Linked DNA regions of Arabidopsis thaliana. The protein of the gene in region 1 interacts with the protein of each later gene in a pairwise test. Each region holds a gene or a part of one and is shown in the gene's direction. Other genes may lie near its edges.

Region 1 (7,186 bases):
CAGGAAAAAAATGAACTAAACAAATAAGAATAAGTCAATAAACTGTTCAGGACTTCATGCTTACAAAAGGAATTGAGTATTTTTAAATTCTAATACTAGATAAACTATCCGTGTATACATGCAGATTTTGCTCATAATATTTTCTATCTCACTAATAGACAATCAAAATTTGACTAATTTTTATACTTTCTTTACATCTTATAGGATTAGAACTAGATTTACCGAAATTTATTTATCTTCTCATGACAAGTTAGTTGACACATGGTTTTCTTAAAATTTGAAATATTTTTTTTGAGAAAGTTCGTCTTAATATATGAGAGATTTGACACACATGAACTGATAAAATCCAATCAATCATATTTCATTTGTTAATGGCTTAATAAATTATTACATATCAATCACTTGGACAATGGAGTATGGGACATGCATGTCACGTGTTTATGGTATAAGATTATGTAATGAATTCGAATATGAATAGTGGAAAAACGATAAGAGTTTGAGTAATCAATTGATTAATAAAAACACTAATAATTGAGGCAAAGTTAAAAAGAAGGAAAGGACAGAACAATCATGGACCACATGTAGACTTTGCTAGTTTAGTTCGTCGGTCTCCATCGTTAGCCATTCACTCTCCAATCCAACAACACCCTCGTCGAGTCCGGTCTCAATCTGCCTATTGATGGGTTCAGATTAGACCACGTGTCAACGTTAATAGACAAAATTAGTTGGACCTGCTTGCAATGAGTGAACACGTGTCGAACAGCTGAACTGCGACATATCTTGTGTGCTTTCCCATGCGGAGATATATATAGACCCCACCTTCAGCTACAGAGAATGAAATAAGCCAATTATATGTTTATGTAATTTTGTCGAATCTGCACCATCTCTTTCGGATACATACAAAAATACCAAAAACTAAATTCGGGGGAATAAACTATAGTTTCTCATTTCAAATCTTTTTTTCATGTAAACTCAAAGCATTTGCCATTCATATATTTCACGTATGCTTGGCTAAGCTTAACGACTATTGTACATACTAGGACGTGCACAAATCTCTAAATGGTACCATGATTTTAGTTATACTTCAATACTGTGAATGAGGGTTTTAAATGACAAGAATATCAGAAGTTTCACGGACTATATGGATTAATATAGATTTGATATAAAATTCCTTACTTATCAAAATTAATCATCGTGTGTCTCACAAATCTATATTGAAGCTACTGTAGAAATGTTGTTAGAATGCATGATGGTACGTCGGCAAGTAAGACATCACATTGTATATGATTGAAATTACTTTTAGAATGGGAAAAAATAAGTCTGAAGTTACTAGCTCTCGTCTAAAATGCTGAAAGAAATACAAAATAGTAGTGCGTCGTTATCTAAATGGTTCTTTTACGTGGACTATGACATCTTCTTCTGATCTTACCGAACATAACTGAGTAAAACCACACACAAAAAGCAATACCTATTCACCTTTAGTGTATATATATTCACACACACACATGCTCATCCTCATCCCCCACCTTCACTTCCAAATATATTTTGAAAAACCCAACGAAAAAGTATTAATTTTGATAACTAGGTGAATAAACGTAATTTACGATTTAAATCACAGCGGGTATACAATTTTCTTAGGTAACCAAGAGAGATATGGGCAAAGGTCGGAGCTTACCGATTAGTCGAAGCGAGAGGTTTCTTGGGAGCCATCAGCAGTCCGATGACCATCATGTGGACGGAGAAACTACCTTTGAGCTGGAGCTCATGGAAGAGGATGTCTGGTCGGTGGTCGAGCCTGACGAACCAAAGGAACTAGGTGCGTGGAACGCACGCTCTCTCGAGGCCAGTGGCAGTGAATGGAGACGGAAGGGAGGACGCGTGAGTGACCTGACCGTTCCGAGTGATGGACAGAGGAAGAGACACGTGGCGACTTCTGCGCCGGTGAAAGTTCCTGACTGGAGCAAGATCCTAAAGGTGGAGTCCGTCAAGTCAATGCATAATAATAATAACGATAATGATAATGCTGACGTGGCGGATTGTGATTGGGAGAGTGCGATGGTACCGCCTCATGAATACGTGGCCGCGCGTAGCCGTAACGGTGACGGTGGTTCGTCCGTGTTTTTGGGCGTGGGAAGAACGTTAAAAGGACGTGACATGAGACGGGTCAGAGACGCCGTGTGGAGCCAAACCGGGTTTTATGGTTAATTTTACGTAATTAATTTGATCATTAATATTTGATTGTAGTATATGATTTGTCCATAGAGTTGAAGTAATTAATTAAGCACTATACAATAACTAGTGTAATCATCATTTATTTAAAATCACTCGTCTATTCTACATGTAATTTAACATTGATCAACCAAATTCAATATCAAAAAAATTAATTCAACGGTCTTTCTCTTAAACTCTAGCTTTGATTAGAATAATCAAGAATTTAAGATAGCTGAAAATGGAATATTTCCGTGTAAAAATTAAATTAAAACCGTTAATGTCGGCGGGACATAAATGGTAATAAAAAAAAACTCGTGAGAAAACATAAATTTCCCAATCGGACTTACTTCTCCTCTAACCGAGAACACAAGAAATTCTATTAAAAAAAACCTAAAAATGGGTTGCTTTAGCAGCAAACACCGAAACACAGAGAGTGATATCATCAATGGCAGCGTACAGAGCTCAATTCCGACAAATCAACCTGAAAACCATGTCTCTCGTGATGTTCTCAAGCCTCAGAAACCTCCTTCTCCTCAAATTCCGACAACAACCCAATCAAATCATCATCACCAACAAGAATCCAAACCCGTTAATCAGCAAATCGAAAAGAAGCACGTTCTAACACAACCATTGAAACCAATCGTTTTTAGAGAAACAGAGACAATTCTAGGCAAACCCTTTGAAGAAATAAGGAAACTTTACACGTTAGGTAAAGAATTAGGTCGAGGCCAATTTGGTATAACCTACACTTGCAAAGAGAATTCAACAGGCAACACATACGCTTGCAAATCAATACTCAAGAGGAAACTAACGAGAAAGCAAGACATAGATGATGTGAAGAGAGAGATTCAGATAATGCAGTATTTGTCTGGACAAGAGAACATTGTTGAGATCAAAGGTGCTTATGAAGATAGACAATCGATACATTTGGTGATGGAGTTGTGTGGTGGTAGTGAATTGTTCGATAGGATTATAGCTCAAGGACATTACTCTGAGAAAGCAGCTGCTGGTGTTATTAGATCGGTTTTGAATGTTGTTCAGATTTGTCATTTCATGGGAGTGATTCATCGTGATCTCAAGCCTGAGAATTTTCTGCTCGCTAGTACTGATGAGAATGCTATGCTTAAAGCTACTGATTTTGGATTGTCTGTGTTCATTGAAGAAGGTGAGTTTGTGTGATCATATCTCTTGTTCTGCTTTTTAGTATATATATGCGAATGTTTTAGATATCTTAAGATTCTGATGAATGTTGGAGTTATATTGTGGATATAGATTTTGTTAAGAATAGTCTGTATCTTAAGAATCTTGTTTCATTTAGTGATTTAGTAGATAGTGGTAAGCTTGAAATCAGAGGTTTTGCTAGTTTTGTGTGAACTTGAGAATGTGTGTCAATGGATTATTATAGAACTTGTGTGTTCTTTTCCTTTCCTTATTGTCAAATTATGTCAGTTTAGTTAGTTAGTTGATGATCTTGTGTTCATATGCTTAATGTGTTTTGTTTCTAAACCGTAAAACAAAAATTGCAGGGAAAGTTTATAGGGATATAGTAGGAAGTGCTTACTATGTTGCTCCTGAAGTATTAAGAAGAAGTTATGGAAAAGAAATCGATATTTGGAGTGCAGGGATTATTCTATACATCTTGCTTTGTGGTGTGCCTCCTTTTTGGTCTGGTAATAAAATCTGACCAATTCTTTGATTTGGTTTATCCTTTTAATTATGTTGTTTATTTGTGTTGTTGTTGTGGTTACATTGTAGAAACTGAGAAGGGGATATTTAATGAGATTATAAAGGGAGAAATTGATTTTGATAGCCAACCATGGCCTTCTATATCTGAGAGTGCTAAAGATCTTGTGAGGAAGTTGCTTACTAAGGACCCTAAGCAACGAATCTCAGCGGCACAAGCTCTTGGTAAAGTCACATTGGTCTCTCTAAGTGCGGTTTTGTAGTTGACGTACTTTTCAGTGCTTTACTAATCTGTAGTGATCCTTGTGGTGTTGTTTTTTCAGAACATCCTTGGATCAGAGGAGGAGAAGCACCGGACAAGCCTATTGATAGTGCTGTTTTATCTCGGATGAAGCAATTCCGAGCAATGAATAAGCTTAAAAAGCTAGCTCTAAAGGTAAAAACAAATTTCTATCTAGAAGTAGCATTTTCTTCTATATTCCCTGATCATTGGTTCTGTTTCTGATCTGTTTTGCAGGTTATTGCAGAGAGTCTCTCGGAAGAGGAAATTAAAGGTCTTAAAACCATGTTTGCGAATATGGATACTGACAAAAGCGGCACAATCACTTATGAAGAACTGAAAAACGGGCTAGCTAAACTTGGCTCTAAACTCACTGAAGCTGAAGTGAAGCAACTCATGGAAGCCGTAAGTATTGCCATCCTATTTGCTCTGCTTCTTATGTTACTTATTATTCTAACAAAAGACTTTTATTTTATATATGTTTCAGGCTGATGTAGATGGTAATGGAACAATTGACTACATCGAATTTATCTCAGCAACGATGCATAGATACAGATTTGATCGAGATGAACACGTATTCAAAGCCTTCCAATACTTCGACAAAGACAACAGCGGGTAAGTTTAGTCCCTTGAGGAACAAGGTAAATATAGACTTGACGCTACTTTAAGAAACAAATTTGGATTTTTCTTAACACAGGTTTATCACAATGGATGAGTTGGAGTCAGCCATGAAAGAGTATGGTATGGGAGATGAAGCTAGCATCAAAGAAGTCATAGCGGAAGTCGATACAGATAACGTAAGTTTTGTTTTCCCTCTACACAGCATCAAAAAGGTTATGAACAAGTCTTAAGCCAAGATTGAGATTAATGGGTCTCTTTTGCAGGATGGAAGAATAAACTATGAAGAATTTTGTGCGATGATGAGAAGTGGTATCACACTGCCACAACAAGGGAAAATTCTTCCAGTCCAATGACTGATAGATAAATCGAGAAGCCTTGATAGAGGAACTTAAAAATTAATTAGATATCCAACATTTTTTACAGCCGTGCAAAAGAGTTGCTGACTTAAACTAGATACTAGTTGTGTTGTCCAATAAAAACAAGTGGCCTTTAATTTCTTTCTCTTATCTGATATGTCTTGTCCAAAGTTTTGGTTACTTTAGAGTACCAGCAAATTACTTTCGGAGTTATACATGTGTGCCCAATAAAGAAGTTGTAGTATAGTAGTAACATCATGTTATATCTCATACTTTCATCACTTGGAAAATATTTCAGAGATGTAGATTATATACATATATAAATGTATGTATAAAGAGAAAAGTGGGTTTTAAGAAAAAGAATTCACCTTCTGGATCCAAATGAATTGTGATACCGTGATCCCCATAAGCCTCCCAAAAAAAATTCTTTCGGCAATTTATTAACAACGTAACCGTCGATTCTCACATTCCCAAGGTGTCCCTCTTTGGGGAAAACTAAAGAGATTTCGTCATGTTTCAACCAAAACTCGCTAACTGCATGAAGTTTTTTGGTCGGTTGGAATTTTGGCTCCATGTTTATATGATCTAAGTGGGCAAAAGACCAAACTACTCATGTGTGATCATATTTTCCTAGTCTATTTATAACTTTTTGAACCATACTTTACGTTATACAAAACCCTAGTACTTATGGAAAGTTATAAAAAAAAAAATCTATTGAAAATAAGAAAATGCTCATATACACATAAGGTTAACTGTTCGATTTACATAAAATTTATAGATACTAAACCCTAAATTCACAAAGTATCTCATCCGCTGCGGACGAAACCATGTCCTATGATCCGGTCGAAGAATATTCAAGTAAGATCTTTCTCTCTTTGTCGAAATTGTTTGTCTATGATCTCGATTAGCTTTCATCTGATCGATCCGTCATTAGTTAACCAGCGTATATCTAACCGTCGATCTGCCTTAGTAAATCCCTTAATTATAATGGATCTGCTTTTTTTTCAATTCCGTCTCGTAATTATAATGAAACCTGGCAGATGCTGACGCATGCATCTTTTGGGACATGGGGAGTTACCCATCCCTAATGGTCTGGATCCTTGTTTAGTTAAAGAGAAGATCAACTCAGAGCTCATGGATCTAGGTTGTAGGGGGGATGTGTCAATGCACGCTTACGGTAATAAGGATACATTCTCGGATGACACAAAACGTTGACTCTATATATTGACTGAGAACGTTGATCCTAGCAAGAGAGCTTCGTGGAAGTTTTGTCTCATTGAAAATAGATCACTGTAACTATCAGTGTTTGTCATGTAGTTGAAAAGTCATTTATGGCTCCACCACTCTTTATGATCATGAGACTGGGAACAATCGCTATATCAATTTTCTTCTAAAGAAATAAACAAGGAAGATAAATCACTTTCATGGAAGTGGTGATCAAAGTAAATGTCGCAACATCAAAATTAATGAGTTCATACATGCAATTTTACAGCAAGGAGATCAAAGTTTTATCTTCGATCGGCTTCATTCCGTTGGCAAAGACACATTAAATCTCATGGACAAAGTCAAAATATTGAACCCAAATGTAGTAACGTATGACCTAGGTACGCCTTACTGGCTTGGTCCATCATTAAAAGTTTGTATTAAATCATAAAAACATAATTTGTTTTTTGTCAACGATAAAACAATTATCATATAAACATCATTACCATTATAAATATTATGGAATTAATTTAGTTTAGTTTCGTTTGATTTTATACAATTTCCGCTTTAATTAGCATGAAGATGATCATCAAGAAAAAATGAGTTCTTTTTTTCCGTCTCTAACTAAAGATGGAGTGACATTATTCCTTTCTTTTTTCTTGAATGTTCCAGGGAACTCTAAAATTTCAGTGTTGATGCATTTCCGTGTAACATAGATCAAATTAATTAAAGTTGTTGAAGCTTTTTCACTGATTGAACATTAAACGAAACAAGGATTAAAGTAAAAGATGAGCATTTTGCTTTGCTTGGTGTATAAGTCATAAAAGCTATT
Region 2 (8,402 bases), on another chromosome or scaffold:
CAAGTAGATGTTGATAGATGGGAAGCTGGTGAATTGGTTGAGGTTCTTGATAATAATATTTCATGGAAAACTGCTACTGTCTTGGAGGTGTTATCTGGAAGATATTATGTTGTTCGGTTACTTGGTGCTAAAGCAGAACTCACGGTTCACAAAGTTTACCTCAGGGCTAGACAATCTTGGCAAGATGAAAGATGGGTTATGATTGGAAAGGTAAGTTTTTTTACTTATTTATTTAATGGTACTGTGTTTTAAAGTGATGTTTGAACAATGATGCTAATGTCTAACTGTCTTATAATCATCTTTCAGGTATCTTGTTCTGTGAAGTCCTCCACGCTGACTGGATCAGATGAACACCAGAATGTGAACCCCCTTCTGAACTGTGTGGCCACAGGAGACTAGTGTTGCTTCTTTAAGAGTGTTGAAGAGACCTTCACCATGTGATTGGGCGGAGTCTGCTGAATCATGCACTAGAAGTCCTAAGAAGATACGATCATTGGAGGAAGAAGGACACCAGCACCGGTTTGCTTCTTCTTCAGCACAGAAGGTATATAATGATAGTTCTGAACGTAGGGGTGTTGAATTGTACGTGAAAGCTTCGTGTAACGAGAATAAAAGTGGTTTCCGTCAAATGGTCAGGGTAAGATCAAAAAGGTTTAGTGAATGTGTTGGTACAGGAAACTCAGTCTCTAATAGTTGTTATGATACTGATGCATCCTCAGTTGGTAGTTGTAGCCCTATTAGTTATGATGAGAGTGACAAACCAACTTCTTTTCTAGATGGTGCCGACTCTTGTAGTAGTGATGCTGAATCTTCAAAAGAAGCATCTGGATGCAGAGATGAAGCTAGGCGAAAACATTCATTATCAGGTAATGGATCAGTGGTGAGATCATGTAGGCCTGAACTTTACACTTACCGTAGTACACTGACGAAGTTATTTGCTTCTGGCTCCCTAAGTTGGGATCAGGAAGCATCACTAACTGATCTCCGACTTTCTCTTAATATATCAAATGATGAACATTTGATGGAGCTAAGAAATCTCAAGTCTGCCGGTACCCACAGTTAATTTTGTTAGTATCTATTATATCTTTTTGATCCTTGACAGTCTTATCTTCAGGTGTTGGCCATACTTCCCTGCAATGTGGAATCAACTGTTGTATATTGTTCTGTTACCGGAGGATTGTTAAAATGATTGTATAGACAGCAGAAGGGAAATAACTCTGACTGAAAATTTCAAATCCTCATTGTGATGTTTTCTTCTTATAGTCTAATTTTCTTTGTTGTACTTTCCGGATGATTAAACTTAAACAAAAGTTACAGTATCTGTGTTCTAAGATGAGTCATGTCTTTTCTTCATATATATACTTTAGTTTATTGTGTTTAAGCTTCTGGATAAGTCGAGTCATTTGTCTTCTCCTCATCAGTGATGGATTATTGAACTTACCTTACATTTTTCAGGAAAACTGTAGCCATGTTGGGTGACTGCAGATCTTGCTTGCTTCTAGAGATCTTACTCTGATGCATGAGGTTAACTGAATGGTGCAAAACACAATGCCCCTTCTTCCTCAAAATTCATAATTTAAATTGTGCTGTGTTTTCTTTTTGGCTGTACATAACTGATCTGTTTCAGGTGTTCTTGGATATATATACCCTCTTTACACAGGCTGTGAACTGTTCCTAGCCGAAGGATAATCATTTACAGTCTGCAGGTTGGATAAGTTTGCCGACGATTGGTAAGTATTAGGTTGAAAGTTCTTTATGAACTGTGTCTATCTGAGACAGTATTGAGGTTGTGTGGAATACTTTTACTCTTTCAGCAAATGTGACCAGTAGATTGTGGAACTGTCCATGCTTGTTTGTTGGTGGTATATGTACAGTTGGCCTGGTCATCAAAATCTACAGAAAAGTACTCAATTTTTATGAAATCAAGGCTATGACATTTCAAGCTGAATTACCGAGGTGCGGGGATTCAAACGTTAGCATAAATATTATGATCGGTGTGTATAGACCTCTGCATAAATCAAACGTGTCTAGCTGCTCGCTTGTCAAATCCAACTTTTTCCCTATGTCTCAAGCTTAAAGAAATTGAAAAGACTCAGAGAGGAAGAAGAAGCCTTGCGAATTGCGATGTTCTTATGCCATCACTATCGGTTTTATATTCGCTTATACTCTACACTAAGAAAAATAATCGAATTGAATATTTCTGATTCTTTAGAACTCATGTTAATTCAAAATTTTATGGTTGTTACAAAACTTATGAACAACATTATGATCTGCATTAACTTATAATGTTTTCAATGTGTTCTATGTAAGATTGACATTATTTGGAACCACCTGTTTTACTTATATTATTTTATTCTTGACTTGAAGTTGATTTGTGGCTTCTACATGTCACTAGCTTGAGTTTCACCAGAACTTCATAAAATCAAATTCCTTTGCAACTTAAAAGCATCAGAGAAACCAAACAGAAAAGCAGTAGCAGAAAAAGTTACTTGGGTTGCGTTATTGATTTTATTCAAAGCCAACAGACGCAAACATGTAACTAACACAGTTACCAAAACTGTCACAATTAAGCTTTCCAAGTACCAGAGTAGATTGATTCCAGGAAATGATTATCTAAATACCAATTTGCGCATAAACCAACCTCCTCCTTCTTTCTCGATTTACCAAGCGTTTTTGGATTGTAGTCCTCCTATTTGAATTTTGCCAATTATTGAACAACAGAAACTTGTATGATGTTTTTAAGTATTGGTAATATTAGTATGTTTGGGGGACAAACAAAAGCCTAATTAACCAAAAAACTATAGTTAATATTCAGTTCCCAGAGCAAAACGGAAAAAAACATGCCAATTTGTTAATTTTGAAAGTTTCTATGAGCACTAAAAGACCAATGAACCGAAATATACTTGCTATTTTTGTGGCTACAAAAGCAGAAAAAGGAGGGAAAATAGTTACCTGTTGGGGCCCACAACAAAAAAGAAAGAAACAAACGTAACAGAAAAAAGGATATAAAAGGAAATTCGAAACCGGCGAATTCGGAGAAAAAAAAAAAAAAACCTTGCGTGTTTATCCGCAAGGGATTTTGATTTTGGAAAAAGAAAGAGAGAGGGATCTGAAGCATGGAGAAGAAGAAGGTATGGTTTTGGGGTGTGAAAGACGACGGCGAAGGAGGCGGAGGCAGAGGAGGAGGAAGAACCAAAGATGCGGAGGATGATGTTGCTGACCATTTATCTCGCGACGGGACGATGAGTCAGTATAGCCTTAGCAAAGGCCTTCTTCCTTCTCTTGGAGCCAACAATCGTTCCTCTCGTGACGTCATTCTCCCTCGCTTCATCGTCTCTCCTTTTGATCCTCGTTACAGGTCCGTTTTTTCAAATTTTGACTCTGTTTTAATCTAATCGCTAAATTAGGGTTTAGCTGAGGTAAAACATTATTTTTCAGAGCGTGGGAGACGTTTTTGGTGTTTTTGGTGCTCTACACAGCTTGGGCATCACCTTTTGAATTTGGGTTTCTGCAAAAGCCAAGACCACCTCTCAGTATTCTCGATAACATTGTCAACGGGTTTTTCGCTGTTGATATAGTCTTGACATTCTTTGTTGCCTTCTTGGACAAGGTAACTTATCTTCTTGTCGATGATCCAAAGAGAATAGCTTGGAGATATGCGTCGACTTGGCTGATTTTCGACGTGGTTTCCACATTTCCTTACGAAATTTTTGGGAGCTTGCTTCATGAGAGTATTCAGGGATATGGTATTTTCAGTATGCTACGTTTATGGCGTCTTCGTAGGGTCAGTAATTGTTTTGCCAGGTGAGTTCTTTGGCCGGTTTATCGTTCCAGCCAAAACGTTTAAATTCCAGCTGAGTATAATATTGATGTCTTCTTTTCAGGTTAGAGAAAGACAGGAAATACAGTTACTTTTGGGTTCGCTGCTCGAAGCTTCTCCTTGTAAGTAGCTATTGTCTACTTGTTTTTTACACTCTTTTTGGTTTCAAATGAACAGTTTTTTAGCTGTGAATTTACAGTATTTGATTTGGTAATGCAGGTTACTCTTTTTGTGATTCATTGTGGTGCTTGTTTCCTCTATTCCATTGCTGCACATTATCCAGATCCATCCAAGACGTTTATGGCATTAACCGATGAAAATTGGAAAGAGTCTCCTATTGCAGTGCGGTATAACACGGCAATGTATTGGTCCATAACTACTTTCTCCACAACTGGTTATGGTGATATACATGGTGTTAACTCAAGAGAGATGACTTTCATTCTTTTCTACATGGTTTTTAATCTTGGACTGTCAGCATATATAATTGGTAATATGACCAACTTGGTGGTTCATGTGACCGGCCGCACCAGAAAATTTGTAAGTTCTATGTACCGGTACTGTTAACTGCACTTCTCTGAAAATTAGTCTGGTCTCAGTGAAGTTTCATGAGTCTTAAGCATTTGCATTATTTTAGAGAGATACCATCCAAGCCGCATCAGGGTTTGGTCAGAGGAACAATCTGCCAGTGCGGTTACAAGATCAGATGGTTGCTCATTTGTGTTTGAGGTACAGAACTGATTCAGAAGGCTTACAGCAGCAAGAAATAATCGATTCTCTTCCCAAAGCTATTCGGTCCAGCATATCACATTATCTGTTCTATGAAGTTGTTGACAAAATTTACTTGTTCCATGGAATATCCAATGATCTTCTTTTCCAGTTGGTATGTTTCCCATAACGCAAGAAGTCCTGCATGCTAAAAGTGGTCACTTTATTCACATTAAGTCTTAACTTACGGTGTCCTGTAGGTCACGGAAATGAAAGCAGAGTATTTTCCTCCCAAAGAAGATGTGATTTTGCAAAATGAAGCCCCAACAGATTTCTACATATTGGTGACCGGAGCTGTTGTAAGTGTTTTTCGTACATTCCTGACACATTCCTTTATCATCATGTATTATTCCTGACACATTCCTATGTCATTCAGGACATAATTGCACGTGTAAATGGAGTGGAGCAGGCAAGTCTAGCTTTTATTATACCGTTTCTTTTTAAGATATGATTGTGTTCTTCTTTAACTTTGTTGCAATTGGAGAACCAAAACATATTTGATAATGTTTTTGTGTATGTGTTTCTTTACAGGTAGTTAGTGAAGCACAGAGAGGACATGTTTTTGGTGAAGTTGGGGTACTATGTTACAGACCGCAGCTGTTTACTGTTCGTACCAAGCGATTGAGTCAGTTGCTTCGTCTGAACCGTACAGTACTCTTAAATCTTGTTCAGGCAAATGTAGGAGATGGAGCAATAATCATGAATAATCTTCTTCAGGTTTGTAATAACTCTGAATAGTACAGTTTGTTTCAACCTGTTGACACACAGGACCAGTTCCATAACAGATATGTTGTGGTTCATGCAGCATTTAAAAGACTCAGAAGATCCAGTGATGAAAGGCGTTTTGGCTGATACAGAACACATGTTGGCTCAAGGGAAAATGGATTTACCTCTCAGCTTGTGCTTTGCTGCAGCCAGAGGAGATGATTTATTGCTGCATCAGTTACTAAGACGAGGCTCAAGCCCTAATGAAATGGATAAGGACGGGCGAACTGCGCTGGTAAGCCCGGATTTCCTTTGTATATACCATCATCCTCCTTTTAATGCCTAAACCAAATTTGCTCACTCTCTATGTTTCTTCTTTGAATATCTCAGCATATAGCAGCATCAAAGGGAAGCCATTATTGCGTCGTTTTACTTCTCGAACATGGAGCAGATCCTAACATTAGAGGTAAGTAGTAAAAAATAATGTTTCACTAGGTCAATTAGCTTAGGATGATAGGATCATGTAGTACTAAATTATCGGTGGCTCGTACATTGTTTACAGATTCCGAAGGCAATGTACCCTTGTGGGAAGCAATCATAGGAAGACATAGAGAAATTGCTAAACTCCTTGCAGAGAATGGAGCAAAGCTAAGCTTAGACTCAGTGAGCTATTTCTCTGGCTTAGCCGTGGAGAAAAACTGCTTAGACGCACTCAAAGACATCATCAAATATGGCGGCGACGTCACACTCCCTGATGGAAACGGAACCACAGCTTTACACAGAGCAGTGTCAGAAGGACACTTGGAGATTGTGAAGTTCTTACTAGACCAAGGTGCTGACTTGGACTGGCCGGATTCTTACGGATGGACTCCTCGTGGTCTTGCCGATCATCAAGGGAATGAAGAAATCAAAACCTTGTTTCATAATCACAGGCCTGTGGAGAAAAAACCGAAACCTATCCCTGGAATACCTCAGAGTCCTGTGACAGGGAAGCCATTAATGAAGTATAGCAGTGAGCCTACAATGCATTCAGGAGAACTCGTCTTAGACGGGGGTCAGGTTGTTGTTTCTCAGAAACGGAAACTCAATAACTTCAGAAACTCGCTCTTCGGAATCATTTCAGCTGCAAATAGCGGTAAAACCACCTCACCTCTCCATCTGCTCTCTAGATACTCGTTGCTTTCTTGTCACGTAACCATAATTTTCAGAACTTTTCACATCACAATAGTCATTCTTATATACAATTCACAACGTTCATTACATTGTTCTGTTCCTTACAAATTTACAAATTTGGTTTTCATTTCTGGTTTTTTTCCAGCTGATGATGGAGGAGAAGTTCCAAGAAGTCCAGCGGTTCCTGGAGGAGGAGGTAGTATGATTTATCCGGAGAGAGTGACGATAAGTTCGCCGGAAAACGGTGAAACTGGTGGAAAAGTTGTTTTGTTACCAAATTCTATGGAAGAGCTATTGAAAATTGGTGAAAATAAGATGGGATTCGTCCCAACTAAAGTACTTACGAGAGAAGGAGCTGAAATTGACGACATCACTCTTATCAGAGATGGCGATTTTCTCCTTCTATCAAGGGATCCTTGATTCACACGCAACTCTCTTTCGATTTTGAGTAATGAAAACTATTTGTCTTAACGCAAACTCGCAAACCACCACAGTCAAGCTTTATGGTGGTGATATGATGCTAATATTAGGGGAAACCGTAAGCCCCAATCAACTCCGGGATTGAAATATCTTTTAGGTTTTTTTTTTTTGCTTTTGTGTATATATTCACTGCTTACTATTTTTCACATGTATATATATATATATCCTGTTGACTATTTTCTGTTAAAAGAACTCTCTAACAACCTCATGATATTAACATCGAAATCTACAAGAAGTATGGAAACAATCTTGTTTTTTTCAGAAAGCATACAAGGATAAAGGTCCTTTCTTAAACGTCTAGACAATCTTCTTCTCTAAGTCTCTAAGAAGAAGCAAGTGTTAAAATTTATAACTTTTGTGCGAGGTCGAGATTTGAGAGTAACTCCTCACTCATCTTTTCCAATCAAGCTTAAATCCTCTCTAGGTGACTTATCCTATTTCTGAGATGAATTATCATCTCATCTTTCATTTTTGTTTAGATCCATGATGGTAAAGTGATATTGATGGGACTTGGGAGCCAAAGCATTACCGAAAATGAGCACAATGATTGAGATAGAGTTAGAGACAACACACACTATAATATTATTATTATTTCATGCTTCAAATGCAAGAAGGTAATATTTGAATCAGACTCTAGAGAGCTTAATCTGCTCCCATCTCTCTGACCAATACGAAACATCCGCAATCTGCTCAATCAACCTAAAGAGGTGAAGTTGTATTTTATGTCTAGTTGAATTAAAACCCTTGTCAAATTAGACAATGGTTTAAGGTTGATGAGAATTTGATGTTGGAAAAAAAAAGTGATATAAAAGATAAAAGCGGTTCAAAACGGTTTTGCGATTGATGTTAAAAGAGTGCGACCGGTTGTGGGAGAACCGGTCAACTCCTAGTCCTAGAGGCTAGAGAGTGTTGTGTTGTGTGATTTGTGGTGCAGATAATATCTTAACCGGCTTCAAATTTTAAAATCTAGCTCGGTTAGCATTTTAAAACTGTTTTCTGGTTTGATTCCGTGTCTATCTCTCGGCTCCGTTGTATCGGAAGGTAGATATTAAAACTGAAAGACCACTGCCGTCGAGAGCAACTCAAAAGATCATCAGAACCGATTCGAACGATGTCGTTTGGGTCTCTCGTGCTTCCATCTCCACCTTCCTCCTTGTCTGCAAATGTCAAGCATTTCAATGGCTACGGTAGGCTTAATCGTAATCTCGTGCGAGCTTCTTCGTCCGATGTTCCCGATTTCCTCTCTGCCGATTGGTACGCCTTTAAAATCTCTTTTTAACTCAAATTTCCTCGATTTTCATATGTTTCAAGCTTTGGGTGTTACTGGGTTTTAGCTAGGAAACGAACAGATCCGAATGCGTCCATCAATTGGTTTGTAGAATTCTGGTTCCCAGAAACTAAAATGATCAAAAATTCGATTTTGCAAAGCTATAGTTGTAGGGCGTAGCCATTAGAGATC
Region 3 (8,546 bases), 4.5 Mb from region 1:
TGGATGCGAGACATTCCCAGATCTGGGTGGCAAGATCATAGGATCGTTCCTTGCACTACAAGAAAACCTCACCATATGAAACTTACCTTGTAGGCTTGTAGTGATCAACATTTGTTCTTTATTTCTTCCACTTCAAGAAATCTCTCTCAGTGTGATCTGATTGAAAGTGTGCCTTTAGGGTCTAGTTGTGCTTTTCAAATTTATGAGCTGTAAATCTATTTATTACAAAATTTCAATTGATCTATCAAAGTGTGTGTTTTGGATTTTTACTATATGATTTAATTTAGTAATGTTGTCATATCTTTAGTACTATATGATTACAATATCACATTGGCTTGTAGAAAATGAAAAATGTCATCCTGAAACAGCTTTTGCTAAATCATTCATAAGATCATGCATCACAAAGCTTGTCATGAAAAAAAAGATTGAGCAAACTAAATCACCAGGTAATCATTTCCAATCTTCTGCTGCTCCTTGGTTGGTATAAGAGGTCTACTGCAATAATTCCTCCCTATCGAAAACATGGCCCTTGGGGAATACTGAGCAGAGGTCAAAGCATCGCTTAAGTTGAGGAGGAAGAGAGTCATAGCTTAGTTTAAGTAGTAACTACTGGAAGGAGTTCGCTATGTTTTCCCTCGTAACTTGTTGGAGCCAAGGAGTTGCAACAAGTCAGACAGGAAAAACTCAATACAATTATTAGAATAGGGAAGCAGATAAGGATTTGTTGACTTGCTCTTCTCTATGCAATTTGTCAGCAAATGATAATAATGTCAAGATTCTTGAGATTTTCTTCTTCCATTTGATCATGAGTAGATTCATAAGTTTGCAGACATTTTTCCGAATTTTTTTTACTTACATCCCCATTTTCTGAAAGTGTTATTACATTTTCTTGCAGTGGCCATGGAGCATTCAACGCGTCACACCATCTTTTTTCCTTTCTATCTTCTCTGATCTATCTATATTATCTCTAAAAGATTTGAGAGATGGTGTTGAATTCACCACAATTCTGCATTCCAACCTAAATCAACAGATCAAAAAAAAAAAAAAAAAAATTGAATAAAAATTATCTTTTATACAATATCTTTTTGGTCATGACATATATCCCTATTTACAAGTTTTGTTCCTTTATAAGAACTAAGAAGTGTGTGTCTTTTTTTTTTTGTGTGCAACCAGGTGTGTGTGTCTTTAGGTTAGAGTTATTTGGTATGTTAAGAGGCGATGACGTGTCGATACACCATTGGTGGGATTATAATGACAAAACCCAAAAAAAAAAGTACTCACGTGACAAATTTTGTTTGTTTCCCCATTTCATCGTCTCTCTCTTTTTGTCGACCTTCAACGCGAAATCACTCGATCCGATGAATTATGAGGAGATATGCGTCGGATCCGATCTGTCGTTATATTCATTTCAACGTCGGTGGAGACCCTCGACGATTTCAAATCGGAGAGTATGCTCCAATCTATTTCCCATGGTACGTATCTCTCTGTTTTCATTTTTTTCAGTTCCTTTTAGCCGAGATTGATGATTGGAATTGAAACCATCAAATTTCGAAACTGGGTTTTCTTAGATCTTGTCAATTGGAATTAATTTTAGTGAGTCTGGTAGTTAACGATAGATTTGGGTGATGGTTTGTGTTTGAACGTTCTCCTTTTCCTGCTTAAGCATGAACCTTACTTAATCAAGCTCTGTAATGCTGGCATTTATTTTGGTGAATATATTGATTCAATGTTTCTTTATCTCTCTGAGTGATCTGTATTTGAAGTCGTAAAATTTTGTTTATCTTTCATCGGTTTTTAGGATGGGAATCCCAGGTTGTCTTGCTTTGGACTCATGAAAAGTAGCAGAGATGGGAAGAGTTATATAGCACTAACTTGGCATTTACTCCTACAGAGAAATTTGCTAACGGGTAAAACTCTCTCTGCTTCATGTTTATATATGTCCAAAATATTTCAGGGCACAAAGTTCCCAAAGCTAAATCCACTTTCTTCATCTTGTGTCAGGTAGAGTTACACCAGAGAGTGTATTATGTTTTCAGTTTTGGAACCGTTTTGCTCGATCTCATTAGTGGAAAACATATTCCACCGAGCCATGTAAGTTCTCTACTAATAGAAGATATATAAACTTTAGATGTAATGTAGGACCTGGCTCTTTGTTTCTTGCTGGATAGTTCTTGGAAGGAATCTCTAGTTCAGTCCTTACTAAAATCTAAATGATGATCATCATCGTTTTTCCTGCCTCATTCTTTCTCAGACATCCTTTGGTGATGATGCATGCTTAAGAGTGAATCTTACAGCCATACAGGAAATACTGCTTAAGAATGGATCTTACAGCCATACAGGAAATACTTAGTAAGATTGGATACAAGGAATTGCCATTGAGGTGTTAATCTATTCCTTCCTCTCGCTTACTACTTAGTCTTTTGCATTAGGGACTTGTTTTGAATATGATTTTATTTACCTTCTTCTGCAGCTCTCGTTTCAAATGTGGACAACCCAGATGCAGGAATCTCTCTTTTCAAAGAAGCAAGGGGACTTAGCTTTCCGATCCAAAGATTTTACAACCGCAATCGATTGCTACACTCAGGTAATATCTCTAAATGCAACATACCTCTTTAATTACATGCCAAGAGCCATCATAGGGCTAGACATTCAGTCATCATAGGGCTACACATAACTGGAATGATTCATGGGCCGAAAAGGATGAAAAAAGTTTGTATGGTTCCTTGTATTGAAAGACATCTAAATACAAAAATTTGATTTTTGTCCCTTATGAACCTTAACCATTGGAGGACTATTTTTATAAGATACTCTCATTTTGTTCTTAGCTTAGAAATAACAAAACTTTAATAGAAATAATTGTTAAGATCCAAGGTTAACCATTAGAGATGCTCTTAGTTTACATGTCTAATCTGGGATCCAAAAAGACATAGTAGCAAAAAAAAAATTTAAAGCTTGTAACTGATTTCATTTAAAGAAAATTTCATGCTTTATTTATTAATTACACTACTATATGATTTAATTTAATAATTATGTCAATCAAATTGAAGTTACATCAAAAGAGGGACCAGAGAGAAAGAGTTTCGTGAGCAGCTAAAAACCAAAGTGGGGAAGTCTTCTTTCTTAGTCGTCGTTACTAAAACACAAATAGTTTATTTGGCATTTGTGTTTAAGTAAAGATGAAACATCTTATATATGTGTCATTAATGGCTAAAGTTAGACGATTCCACAACGGCAGCCAAAAATCCTTGAAATTTTCCGATTCTTCCGTTTCAAGTCAACGTTTTCCTTCGCTCCCTCTCACCTTCTTCTTCACAAAAACCTGAACTTTAATTTGAATTTGCCCATATTTTTAGATCCACATTTATTCATTGATTTGCTCTGAGTTTGTATTATCTCAAAGTTTTATCCTTTTGTTGAATCTTGATCTCTCGATTATTCCCCACCAAGCACCAAGTGATCGATCTTTTGTCTCACTGAACTGGGTTATGCTTGAGATTTGATCTGACAACTAAGAGTTTCCTACTTTTGCGTTTTGAGTTTTGTTTTTCATGGCGTATCATCCAGTTTATAACGAGACTATGTCTATGGGAGGAGGGTCAAGCAACGAGTTTGGCCAGTGGCTTGACAAGCAACTCGTGCCGTTTGATACAAGTAGTGGCTCTTTGAGGGTTGAATTATTACATGGTAACTTAGACATTTGGGTTAAGGAAGCTAAACATCTTCCTAACATGGATGGTTTCCATAACACCCTTGTTGGTGGGATGTTTTTTGGGTTAGGTCGGAGGAATCATAAAGTGGATGGTGAGAATTCTTCTAAGATCACAAGTGATCCTTATGTTACTGTCTCTATCTCTGGTGCTGTGATTGGTAGAACTTTTGTTATTAGCAATAGTGAGAATCCTGTGTGGATGCAGCATTTTGATGTACCAGTTGCTCATAGTGCTGCGAAAGTTCACTTTGTTGTGAAAGACAGTGATATTATTGGATCACAGATCATTGGAGCTGTTGAAATCCCAACCGAGCAGTTGTGTTCCGGGAATAGAATCGAAGGGCTGTTTCCGATACTTAACAGTAGAGGAAAGCCTTGTAAACAAGGTGCTGTGTTGAGTCTGTCTATTCAGTATATTCCAATGGAAAGAATGAGACTTTACCAAAAGGGTGTTGGTTTTGGTGTTGAATGTGTAGGAGTTCCCGGTACATACTTCCCTTTAAGGAAAGGCGGTAGGGTTACTCTTTATCAGGATGCTCATGTTGATGACGGTACTCTTCCGAGTGTACATCTTGATGGTGGGATTCAGTATAGACATGGAAAATGCTGGGAAGATATGGCTGATGCGATACGACGGGCAAGGAGGTTGATTTATATCACAGGTTGGTCAGTTTTCCATCCGGTTAGGCTGGTTCGTCGTAACAATGATCCGACCCAAGGTACATTAGGAGAGTTGCTTAAAGTCAAATCTCAAGAAGGTGTTAGAGTGTTGGTTTTGGTGTGGGATGATCCAACTTCAAGGAGTCTTTTGGGATTCAGTACAGTAAGAATCTACATAACTCTGTTTTTTTCTGATTAAGACATTCTATTATTGCTTACCCATAAAATCAAACATGTATATATATATATATATAATTTTATGGAGTGCCTCTCTGTTTTGTTTCTCCATTTTGATTTATAGCTTATCACTTAAATAATTCTATGGAGTGCCTCTCTGTTTGTACACAGTTTTGAATGGTCTAATGTGTTGTTCTTAACTTCTCACATAGTCACATATTTGGTTGTTTCAGTTGCATTTCATACTTTCCTCTATTGTTTCAGTTCTGACCCTTTTTCTGTTTATCTTATTGGAAAGCATGAGTTTGCTTCAATTAGATAATTATACTAACTTAGCTACAATCCTTCTATCTATTTAATTAAAAGCTGGTGTTTTGTTGCATGTAGAAAGGACTTATGAACACAAGCGATGAGGAGACTCGCCGTTTTTTCAAGCACTCATCGGTGCAAGTTCTCCTTTGTCCTAGATATGGAGGGAAAGGTCACAGCTTCATAAAAAAATCTGTAAGATGCTCATTAGTTACTTCATTACTGTGTAAACTCTTGTGTGTATAGCTTCAGCGTCTAAAATTTGAGTGTCATTATGATGATCAGGAAGTTGAAACAATCTACACGCATCATCAGAAAACTATGATTGTAGATGCTGAAGCAGCTCAGAACCGAAGAAAGATTGTAGCATTTGTTGGAGGGCTAGACTTGTGCAACGGACGATTTGATACTCCCAAGCATCCTCTCTTCAGGACATTAAAGACAATCCATAAAGATGACTTCCATAACCCAAATTTTGTGGTAATCATTTAAGAAAAAACCTGCTTGGTTGCAATTTTGGAATTAGAATCCGCTATTCTTGATCCATGTAAATTCTGTTTTTCTTATTAGACTACTGCGGATGATGGACCAAGAGAACCATGGCATGATCTGCACAGCAAGATTGATGGTCCAGCTGCATATGATGTGCTTGCTAATTTTGAGGAACGCTGGATGAAGGCTTCAAAACCTCGCGGAATTGGGAGACTAAGAACTTCTTCTGATGATTCTTTGCTTAGGTTAGACAGAATTCCTGACATAATGGGACTTTCCGAAGCTTCTTCTGCTAATGATAATGATCCAGAGTCTTGGCATGTTCAGGTAATTTAGCAAGTCTAATTTTTTTGCTAGTTATTGTTATTTGTGGTGGTGACAAAAAGAATCTCATTTTTTCTCCAATGATATTAATCTTTAGGTTTTCCGTTCAATTGATTCGAGTTCAGTTAAAGGGTTTCCAAAGGACCCAAAGGAAGCTACTGGAAGAGTAAGATAGCACCACAACTCTGAGCTGTTTTTGTTTGTCATCATGTTGCTATCTCCGACTGATTATGTATTCATGAACAGAACCTTCTATGTGGGAAGAACATTCTCATAGATATGAGCATACATGCAGCTTATGTTAAAGCCATACGATCTGCTCAGCACTTCATTTACATTGAAAACCAATATTTTCTTGGATCATCATTCAATTGGGATTCAAACAAGAACTTGGGTAAGAAACTTTAAAGCTTTTGAAGGAAAGCTTAGTAATCGATGCGTACAATATGTAAACAAGGAGTTTTGGCATTGCAGGTGCGAATAATCTAATCCCGATGGAAATCGCGCTGAAGATTGCTAACAAAATTAGAGCAAGGGAAAAGTTTGCTGCTTATATTGTCATTCCAATGTGGCCAGAAGGTGCTCCAACAAGTAATCCTATTCAAAGAATTCTCTACTGGCAGGTAAAATAATTTTTTGATTCTTTGCTAAAAACAACCCGATCTCACCTTCTTTTTACCGGAATTTTTCACAACCTCTGCAGCACAAAACCATGCAAATGATGTATCAAACCATCTACAAGGCACTTGTGGAAGTTGGTCTTGATGGCCAGCTTGAGCCACAAGACTTTTTGAACTTTTTCTGTCTTGGAACCAGAGAGGTTGGAACCAGAGAGGTTCCTGATGGAACTGTTAGCGTATATAATAGTCCTCGGAAGCCACCTCAGCTAAATGCTGCACAGGTATACATATATTAAATGTCTTCTTTTGAAATCTTCGATTTTGCCTTAATGGGTTCGCTTACTGATTAAAACGACAAACCAATCTAGGTACAAGCTTTGAAGAGTCGGAGATTCATGATATATGTTCATTCCAAAGGTATGGTAGTGGATGATGAGTTTGTCTTAATTGGTTCCGCGAATATCAACCAGAGATCCTTGGAAGGAACTAGAGACACTGAAATCGCTATGGGAGGGTATCAGCCACACCATTCATGGGCTAAGAAAGGTTCTCGTCCTCGTGGTCAGGTAAATAAGACTTTCAGAGACTTCTACTTCTCAATCTAGGATAGCATTCTAAGACGAAAATCTAGAAACCCACCAATGTATGTTCTCTTTAACATGTCTGAACCCTGGTTTGTCTCAATTTCTTGCAGATCTTTGGATATAGAATGTCGTTATGGGCAGAACATCTAGGGTTTCTAGAGCAAGAATTCGAGGAACCAGAGAACATGGAATGCGTGAGACGAGTTAGGCAATTGAGTGAGCTGAATTGGAGACAATATGCAGCGGAAGAAGTCACAGAGATGCCAGGTCATCTTCTTAAGTATCCAGTTCAAGTTGATAGAACAGGCAAAGTGAGTTCTCTTCCTGGATACGAGACATTCCCAGATCTCGGTGGCAAGATCATAGGATCGTTCCTTGTAGTAGAAGAAAACCTCACCATATGAAACTTACCTTGTAGGCTTGTAGTGATCAACATTTGTTCTTTATTTCCTTCACTTCAAGAAATCTATCTGAGTGTGATCTGATTGAAAGTGTGCCTTTAGGGTCTAGTTTTTCAAATTTATGAGCTGTAAATCTATTTATTACAATATTTCAATTGATCTATCAAAGTGTGTGTTGTGGATTTTTACTATATGATTTAATTTAGTAATGTTGTCATATCTTTAGTACTATATGATTACAATATCACATTGGCTTGTAGAAAATGAAAAATGTCATCCTGAAAGAGCTTTTGCCAAATCATTCATAAGATCATGCATCACAAAGCTTGTCATGGTGATATCCAATCTCTGAAAAAAAGATTTGAGCAAACTAAATCACCAAGGTAATTTTTCCAATCTTGTGCTGCTCCTTGGTTGGTATAAGAGGTCTATTGCCATCCATAGCAGCAGTAATTGAGCAGAGGGCAAAGCATCGCTTAAGTTGAGGAGGAAGAGAGTCATAGCTTGGTTTAAGTACTGGAAGGATACTGTTAGTGTAGCTTGAGAAATTCTTTGATGCAATGGCTCGTTCAAGACCTTACACTGTTCTGCAATCCTTTTCCCAATTCCTTCTAGTTCTTGGTTGATTATATTTCCAAAAGGAAATCTAGAGATCAGCTCCCAACATTCTTCATTTGGTAGATTTTTTCATCCTTTGCTACTGTGGAGACAATTTCACTTGATGTGGTTAGAACAATCTTGCTTCCTTCCTCAAGAAACTTTCCCATTCTGAATCTCAGACCAAAAATCATCCAGAGCAACAGGTAAAAGTCTTCTGTTTGCCAAAAGAATCTCTAAGAGACGGGTGACGTGTCGTTGTGTGAGTGGGTGAAGGGAAAATATATAAAGAGAAAATAAAAATCGACTCCCGTGTTTCTCTCTCTCTTTCACGCGTTTCTCTTCAAAGGCTACACCGGAGGCGATTTGGAGTTTAATCGGAACCACTCGGACGAGTCTCCGATGTAGAAACGAGGAAGATTACTTCAATTGAGATTAAGAGGCATAGAGAGAGAGATTTGTGTATTCGATCGAATCAAGCTTGGGTTTGTTAGTAATGGCGAGAATAGCTATAGTTTTAGATCTACTGAAGAAATCTCAATCCAAGCACAGTCTTCACTCATCTTCCTTCTCTTCCGCCGCCACTGCTCCCTTTGCGTCTAGGTTTCTATTCGGGTATGTATTCTCTCTCTCTCTCTGATTTGCATTTGTTTGACTTTCACTGGATCGTGGT
Region 4 (5,219 bases), on another chromosome or scaffold:
GAGTCCGGATTTCACTTTAATTAAGAGGTCATGAATCATCTTTTGTTTTTTTGACAACGAAAATGTACGGAAACATTGTTTTTGTTGGAGCTAGCTAAAAATATAAAATTGAATATGAACCATAAATTTGGTATATTAGGATCAATGCAATGAACCCAATGACCGACCTCAGGTAAGCAGCAGATACATTGTTTTTTTCTCGTCATTCGTTTAATTTCCCTTTCAATCTGTGATTTTTAATTAATTAAAGCTTGATAAAATGAAAAGGTTTAACCCATAAAAGTAAGTATACCTATTCTTGTCTTTGTCACTAAGACATACAAACTTATGATACTCTGAACCTAATCATACTCCTAAATTTTGGAAACCAAATTATGAACACTTTTCAATTAACTTGTTTCATGATAACATCACTCACGAAAACGACCATTAATCCTATTAGACCAACCACAATAAGAGATGCTTGTCGGGGAAAGAATTTCAAATAATTTGGGTTAAATTTCCACAATAACAAAATAATTTGTATCAAAGGGGATTAAAAAAAACAAAAAAAAAAACAACAAACAAAATAATTTGTAATCTTTTTTTTTAAGCAAACAAAAAAGGGGATTAAAGAGTCGTACGAGGAATATTAATTAGGCAAGTTGGTTTGGTCGAGACTCGAGAGATCATGCATTGAATCAAAGGCAAAGAGCCACGTGACGTTTACATGTGGTTCGATCCTCAGTGTCTCATCGATCGCCTTTCTCCTTACAAATCAACCAAATTATACTGTAGTAATCTTTTTCTCAAATTATACTGTAGTAATCTTTTTCTCAAATTATACTTAGTATAATAATGGAATAATATTTCACAAGATAATAATCGAATAATATTATCAAATCTAAAAAAGCTGACCAAAACAAAAATCTTTAAAATTCGCGAACGTTATGAAACTGAGCATATGGACCTTGTTATTGAGATTATTGTAATGCATCAAGTGTCTAAGAATTAGACCAAAACATATGTCTATGCATATTGACTGTCGAAAATCAATTAAATTAGAAGTAGGGTATATAAAACAAGAAGAAGCAATATTTAAACATGACTGACTTATTAGTAAGACAGAGGGAATAATATTATGATAATACTTTTTTTTCTTGAACTTTTTGATACAGGTCCACTGGACACCAATCTAAATGTGTGCGGTGTTCAAGGCAATAATCATGCATGGGTTGCCATATATACACACCTACATCTTAACTTTCCACCATTATTTACTCATCTAGTCTTCAATAAACAAATTCCATTACTAATTAAAAACGTACAAATAGAGATGTTTAATCGTAATACTGTATATCTATCCAAGAACAAACACACAAGTGAACTGAATTTTAAACTGATTAATTCTTTTGTTTCCAAAGAACTTAAAAGGAAGTACTTTTATTTAAATAAAAAATAAATCTTAAACCGCACCAAATAAGTTTTGGTTACTAGTGTATACATTCAGTGAACATTTTTATGAACCCATATTTTAGTAAAAGTATTCTCTTGATTGTAGAGACAAACACTAAACACAAATAAATTGATTTTTTTAGTTGAGCTTATGCTGAGAAGATCCATTTGACAATTTTCTTTCCTTTTTTTGGTCAACGATTCAAGGAGATCCATTTTCTCATCCCTAAATATACGATTTTCGTATCTGTAGAGTAGGAGTAGAAACTAGCGGATCTTTCGATATAAACATTCTAAATTATTAATTTAGGGTTTGTCATCCATGCAAAAAACTTTGTTGGTACACGTCAAATAGTTTAATATCTGAAGCTGCAGTCTTCGTATATTGTTAATTTGGCCTAATTAAAGTAATGCTGCACAATTAATGTGGATAACTAGTGTTGTAGTATTGGTAATCTATCAATTCTCCCAAACTACTCATCGGCTTTTTTGTATCTAAAGGCCAGGAAAAAAACTAATAAAACCACTTGACGTTGTTTCTAAAGGAAATGGCCTATATGTTTCTCAATTCATTGAACCATGAATTATATTTATGGGATTAACTATATTTATATATTAAAAGTAACAAGTGATTTCCGACTGAGTTACTAGCGAAGTCTATTTGCTTTAATTCATCATTCTGTGAGAATTCATCCTCTGGCGATATAAACATCTTGGCTTTATTAAAAACCATCCTCTCATCAAGACTTCACATGCAAAGCGTGTTGTCACGTTACTATGTCCGATCTCCATATACACGTAAATATATAAAAATAGCATCGTGAATTAATTTGAAAAACATTCCTAGCTATTTAACTTGGCTTTATATATAGAAATATGAGAGCATATACATATATTGGCCCAACATTTCCTGGTAGAACAAGCGCATTCACCATATGAAGTGCTTCGAGAAGAACAACACTATGGGTCCTTATTTATCCATAAACATCGACAAAATTATTGGTAGGTACGTTAATAAAAATAATTTCCTCATCGCATCAAATATTTGATTATAAAATTTTAAAAATCAACCTGTATATTAATAACTGGATGATTCAAAATAAACTAGAAAATTATTTTCTTAAAAATTTATAGAATGGTAAAAAGATGGTTTTAAAACTCATTTATTTAAATACTACTTACATATTCAGATCAGAGGAGATTGTAGCTTACGTCATATGTTATATAAGTAAAAGAAATGGTAGAAAAAGTAAGAGAAAAGAAGACCAGGGGAGAAGAACCTTGTGATTGTGGAGGAAGACTAGGCCACACGAAATTCAAATCTTTCAAATTCAGCAACTTGCTTCTCCTCACATTTGTCAGCCCCTTTATATAATAAACGTTCCTCTTTTTCGTCTTTTCAACATATCAGAAAATCCCTAAATTCACTGAACCCTCTTCTCTCTCTTTCTCCCCCCATATCTTCTGATTCTCCTCCAACTCCTTTATTAATAAATTCTCCTCTTTCATTGCTACTTGTCTTCCTCATTTCCCTACTAGTACTTGTTTCACACAGTTTCTTGATCCAACCAAAACCAATACACAAAGCTTCTCAAACTCCTTCACCTCAAAGCTTCTTCCTTTACATCTGAATCGTTGAGTTAACTCGGATTTGTTCTGCATCCTCTGTTTCTGAATCGTGGGCCATCCTTATTTTGTCTCGAATTCTTCACCAATTGCTTCGATCAAGCTGCATTGGTTAACCAGTTGCCCTAAAGATCAGATCTTTGAGCAAAATTTTGTCACTGATCTTCTAAATCCAAACCAGACACAGCAAAACAACCTCTGTAGATGATTCGAGAAATCTCAAACTTACAAAAAGATATTATAAACATTCAAGACAGTTATTCGAACAACCGAGTCATGGACGTCGGAAGAAACAACCGGAAAAACATGAGCTTTCGAAGTTCGCCGGAGAAAAGCAAGCAAGAGTTACGGCGGAGTTTCTCGGCGCAGAAAAGGATGATGATCCCGGCGAATTATTTCAGTTTAGAGTCTCTGTTCCTATTGGTTGGTCTAACGGCATCTCTGTTAATACTTCCGTTAGTTTTGCCGCCGTTACCTCCGCCTCCGTTTATGCTGCTATTGGTTCCCATTGGGATTATGGTTTTACTCGTCGTTCTTGCCTTCATGCCTTCTTCTCATTCTAATGCTAATACAGATGTAACTTGCAATTTCATGTAAATCTGAAATTTATTATATGATGATCTTAATTAATCTTAGGGTTCTTAATCCAATGAAATTGATATACAATATAAATGTAAGTTATAAATATTACATTAAATTATCATAATATATATATGTGAGAATACTTCAACGCACAATAAGAGAAATGGAGGAGAAGAGACTGACATAATATAGAAGCATCATAAGAAGAAATTATACAAAAAAAAAAAAAAAACCTCACTTCGTCATCTCAAACCCAAATCCCAATATCCGTTAATTTAAATCGTAGTATTTATTTGCTTATTTTCAACTATTCGTAGAAATTAGAAAACCAGTGAAGCCCAAAAGCAGAATCCATTTGTTTCAATCGAAAATGGCGGTAAGGTGATGCTCCAAAACCGCCATAAGGTTACGAGTCTGGCTTACTTCCACAACTGCAACAGCACAGCCTTGAAGCTGTCTCACTGCTTCTACAAGCTGTCCTCTTAGCCTCTGAGACAGTAACCGACCGTCCGCTTTCATGCACTCTCTGTACAGCGGCATGTACGCTATTGCTACTCTTAGCGGTGCAGGAAGGTCTCTTAAGGATATCGCTGACTCCCCTTTTTTCAAAACTCTCATGAAATTCATGAAATCGTCATGGCTTTCTCTCATTCCTTTCTCAAAAGCTGACTCCGACCAGTGTTCTTGGAGAAACGATTTTAGATCTGAAGGAACGGATTCGTCTTCTGATGACCTTGCGATGCTGTCTGCCACTGAGTATGTAGCCGTGGAATCTCCTAAGAAGTCTGATTTGAGAAGAAACTCTACTCCTTGGAGAGACCCTCCGCTTCTTTCTCCTGCTGCTTTGAGGATTTCGATGCTGAGAGCGGTTAAGACAGGTGGTGGAACACGAGGGAGGAGATAAGCAGCTACCTCGACTTGGCAACTTGAAGTGGCCGCTGTTAGAGCCAAGCAAAGCTCCATGTCACGGCAACCTCTTTTCACAAACCATTGAACAACTTGCATGCAACCTCTCTCTGCTGCTCTCATTAAGGGACCCAAGAAGGCAATGGCATTACCTTCTTCCACTAGGCACTTCATTGTTCCGATTTTACAATAATGCGAGGCAAAACCAAGAGCTAAGTCCACATCAACATCTAAGCTGTTCCTTTGGGCAATCTGCTCCAGGAAATACAATATTTGAGCACGAAAAGAGACCTTCTATAAGTCTAGAAGCAATCAAAAGAATGGAAGCTTACCTGCAATAAGACGCGGACAAGTTCTGTACTACCAAAACGTGAAGCTTCAAGGAAACATTGGTTCACATTATCTGCGCCACCTTCAACAAGCATACCGAGCAGTCCCTGTATAACAGTAGCTGACATCCCAGATGCCCAGCCAGGATCAAACGAGTTGGAGAACAGAGTGAGCGGGAAACAAGCTGCATCAAAGGCCTCAGTGAAGTCTCTTCCTGAGAGATGGTTTCCTGCTAGATCTAAGAACATCTTGAAAGCAGAAAGTTGTAGTTCAATTTCAGCAGCCGAATTTTGGCTAACTCTATCCTTTGCCCCCTGGCATCGGGAGTGGAAACCTATACA

What was found.
Region 2: the proteins of CPK15 (region 1) and SPIK interact in a protein complementation assay, tested with the Arabidopsis thaliana proteins (one large-scale study listed by BioGRID).
Region 3: the proteins of CPK15 (region 1) and PLDGAMMA3 interact in a protein complementation assay, tested with the Arabidopsis thaliana proteins (one large-scale study listed by BioGRID).
Region 4: the proteins of CPK15 (region 1) and ARGOS interact in a protein complementation assay, tested with the Arabidopsis thaliana proteins (one large-scale study listed by BioGRID).

What each region holds. Positions count from the first base shown.
Region 1 is NC_003075.7:11,638,240-11,645,425, forward strand, and holds CPK15 (calcium-dependent protein kinase 15), read left to right. Parts: upstream 1-2,562; 5' UTR 2,563-2,607; coding exon 2,608-3,376; intron 3,377-3,737; coding exon 3,738-3,881; intron 3,882-3,966; coding exon 3,967-4,119; intron 4,120-4,217; coding exon 4,218-4,330; intron 4,331-4,411; coding exon 4,412-4,579; intron 4,580-4,661; coding exon 4,662-4,789; coding exon of another isoform or gene 4,790-4,793; exon of another isoform or gene 4,794-4,871; coding exon 4,872-4,971; intron 4,972-5,058; coding exon 5,059-5,139; coding exon of another isoform or gene 5,140-5,148; exon of another isoform or gene 5,149-5,218; coding exon 5,219-5,248; 3' UTR 5,249-5,523; downstream 5,524-7,186. Other genes in the region: AT4G21926 (uncharacterized protein), read right to left, coding at 722-825, 1,477-1,526, 1,676-1,731; AT4G21930 (senescence regulator (Protein of unknown function, DUF584)), read left to right, coding at 1,654-2,205; AT4G21950 (uncharacterized protein), read left to right, coding at 6,202-6,366.
Region 2 is NC_003071.7:10,891,487-10,899,888, forward strand, and holds SPIK (Shaker pollen inward K+ channel), read left to right. Parts: upstream 1-2,766; 5' UTR 2,767-3,116; coding exon 3,117-3,358; intron 3,359-3,438; coding exon 3,439-3,804; intron 3,805-3,884; coding exon 3,885-3,942; intron 3,943-4,039; coding exon 4,040-4,357; intron 4,358-4,454; coding exon 4,455-4,700; intron 4,701-4,785; coding exon 4,786-4,884; intron 4,885-4,961; coding exon 4,962-4,994; intron 4,995-5,116; coding exon 5,117-5,302; intron 5,303-5,390; coding exon 5,391-5,585; intron 5,586-5,680; coding exon 5,681-5,756; intron 5,757-5,852; coding exon 5,853-6,425; intron 6,426-6,608; coding exon 6,609-6,883; 3' UTR 6,884-7,186; downstream 7,187-8,402. Other genes in the region: AT2G25590 (Plant Tudor-like protein), read left to right, coding at 1-210, 392-637, 777-866, 1,679-1,730, 1,815-1,956, 2,073-2,286; AT2G25605 (DNA-directed RNA polymerase subunit beta), read left to right, coding at 8,055-8,197. UniProt on the Arabidopsis thaliana protein: Highly selective inward-rectifying potassium channel that could mediate potassium uptake in the pollen membrane. Plays an important role in pollen tube development.
Region 3 is NC_003075.7:7,120,885-7,129,430, reverse strand, and holds PLDGAMMA3 (phospholipase D gamma 3), read left to right. Parts: upstream 1-3,113; 5' UTR 3,114-3,548; coding exon 3,549-4,532; intron 4,533-4,933; coding exon 4,934-5,050; intron 5,051-5,140; coding exon 5,141-5,335; intron 5,336-5,425; coding exon 5,426-5,674; intron 5,675-5,768; coding exon 5,769-5,837; intron 5,838-5,917; coding exon 5,918-6,065; intron 6,066-6,145; coding exon 6,146-6,294; intron 6,295-6,374; coding exon 6,375-6,572; intron 6,573-6,659; coding exon 6,660-6,857; intron 6,858-6,985; coding exon 6,986-7,279; 3' UTR 7,280-7,466; downstream 7,467-8,546. Other genes in the region: PLDGAMMA1 (phospholipase D gamma 1), read left to right, coding at 1-79; AT4G11845 (Interleukin-1 receptor-associated kinase 4 protein), read left to right, coding at 1,359-1,472, 1,799-1,907, 2,006-2,091, 2,295-2,380, 2,471-2,537. UniProt on the Arabidopsis thaliana protein: Hydrolyzes glycerol-phospholipids at the terminal phosphodiesteric bond to generate phosphatidic acids (PA).
Region 4 is NC_003074.8:22,126,777-22,131,995, forward strand, and holds ARGOS (auxin-regulated gene involved in organ size), read left to right. Parts: upstream 1-2,728; 5' UTR 2,729-3,264; coding exon 3,265-3,657; 3' UTR 3,658-3,696; downstream 3,697-5,219. Other genes in the region: AT3G59910 (Ankyrin repeat family protein), read right to left, coding at 4,003-4,800, 4,881-5,219. UniProt on the Arabidopsis thaliana protein: Promotes cell proliferation-dependent organ growth. Takes part in the AXR1-dependent auxin signaling pathway that requires ANT during organogenesis.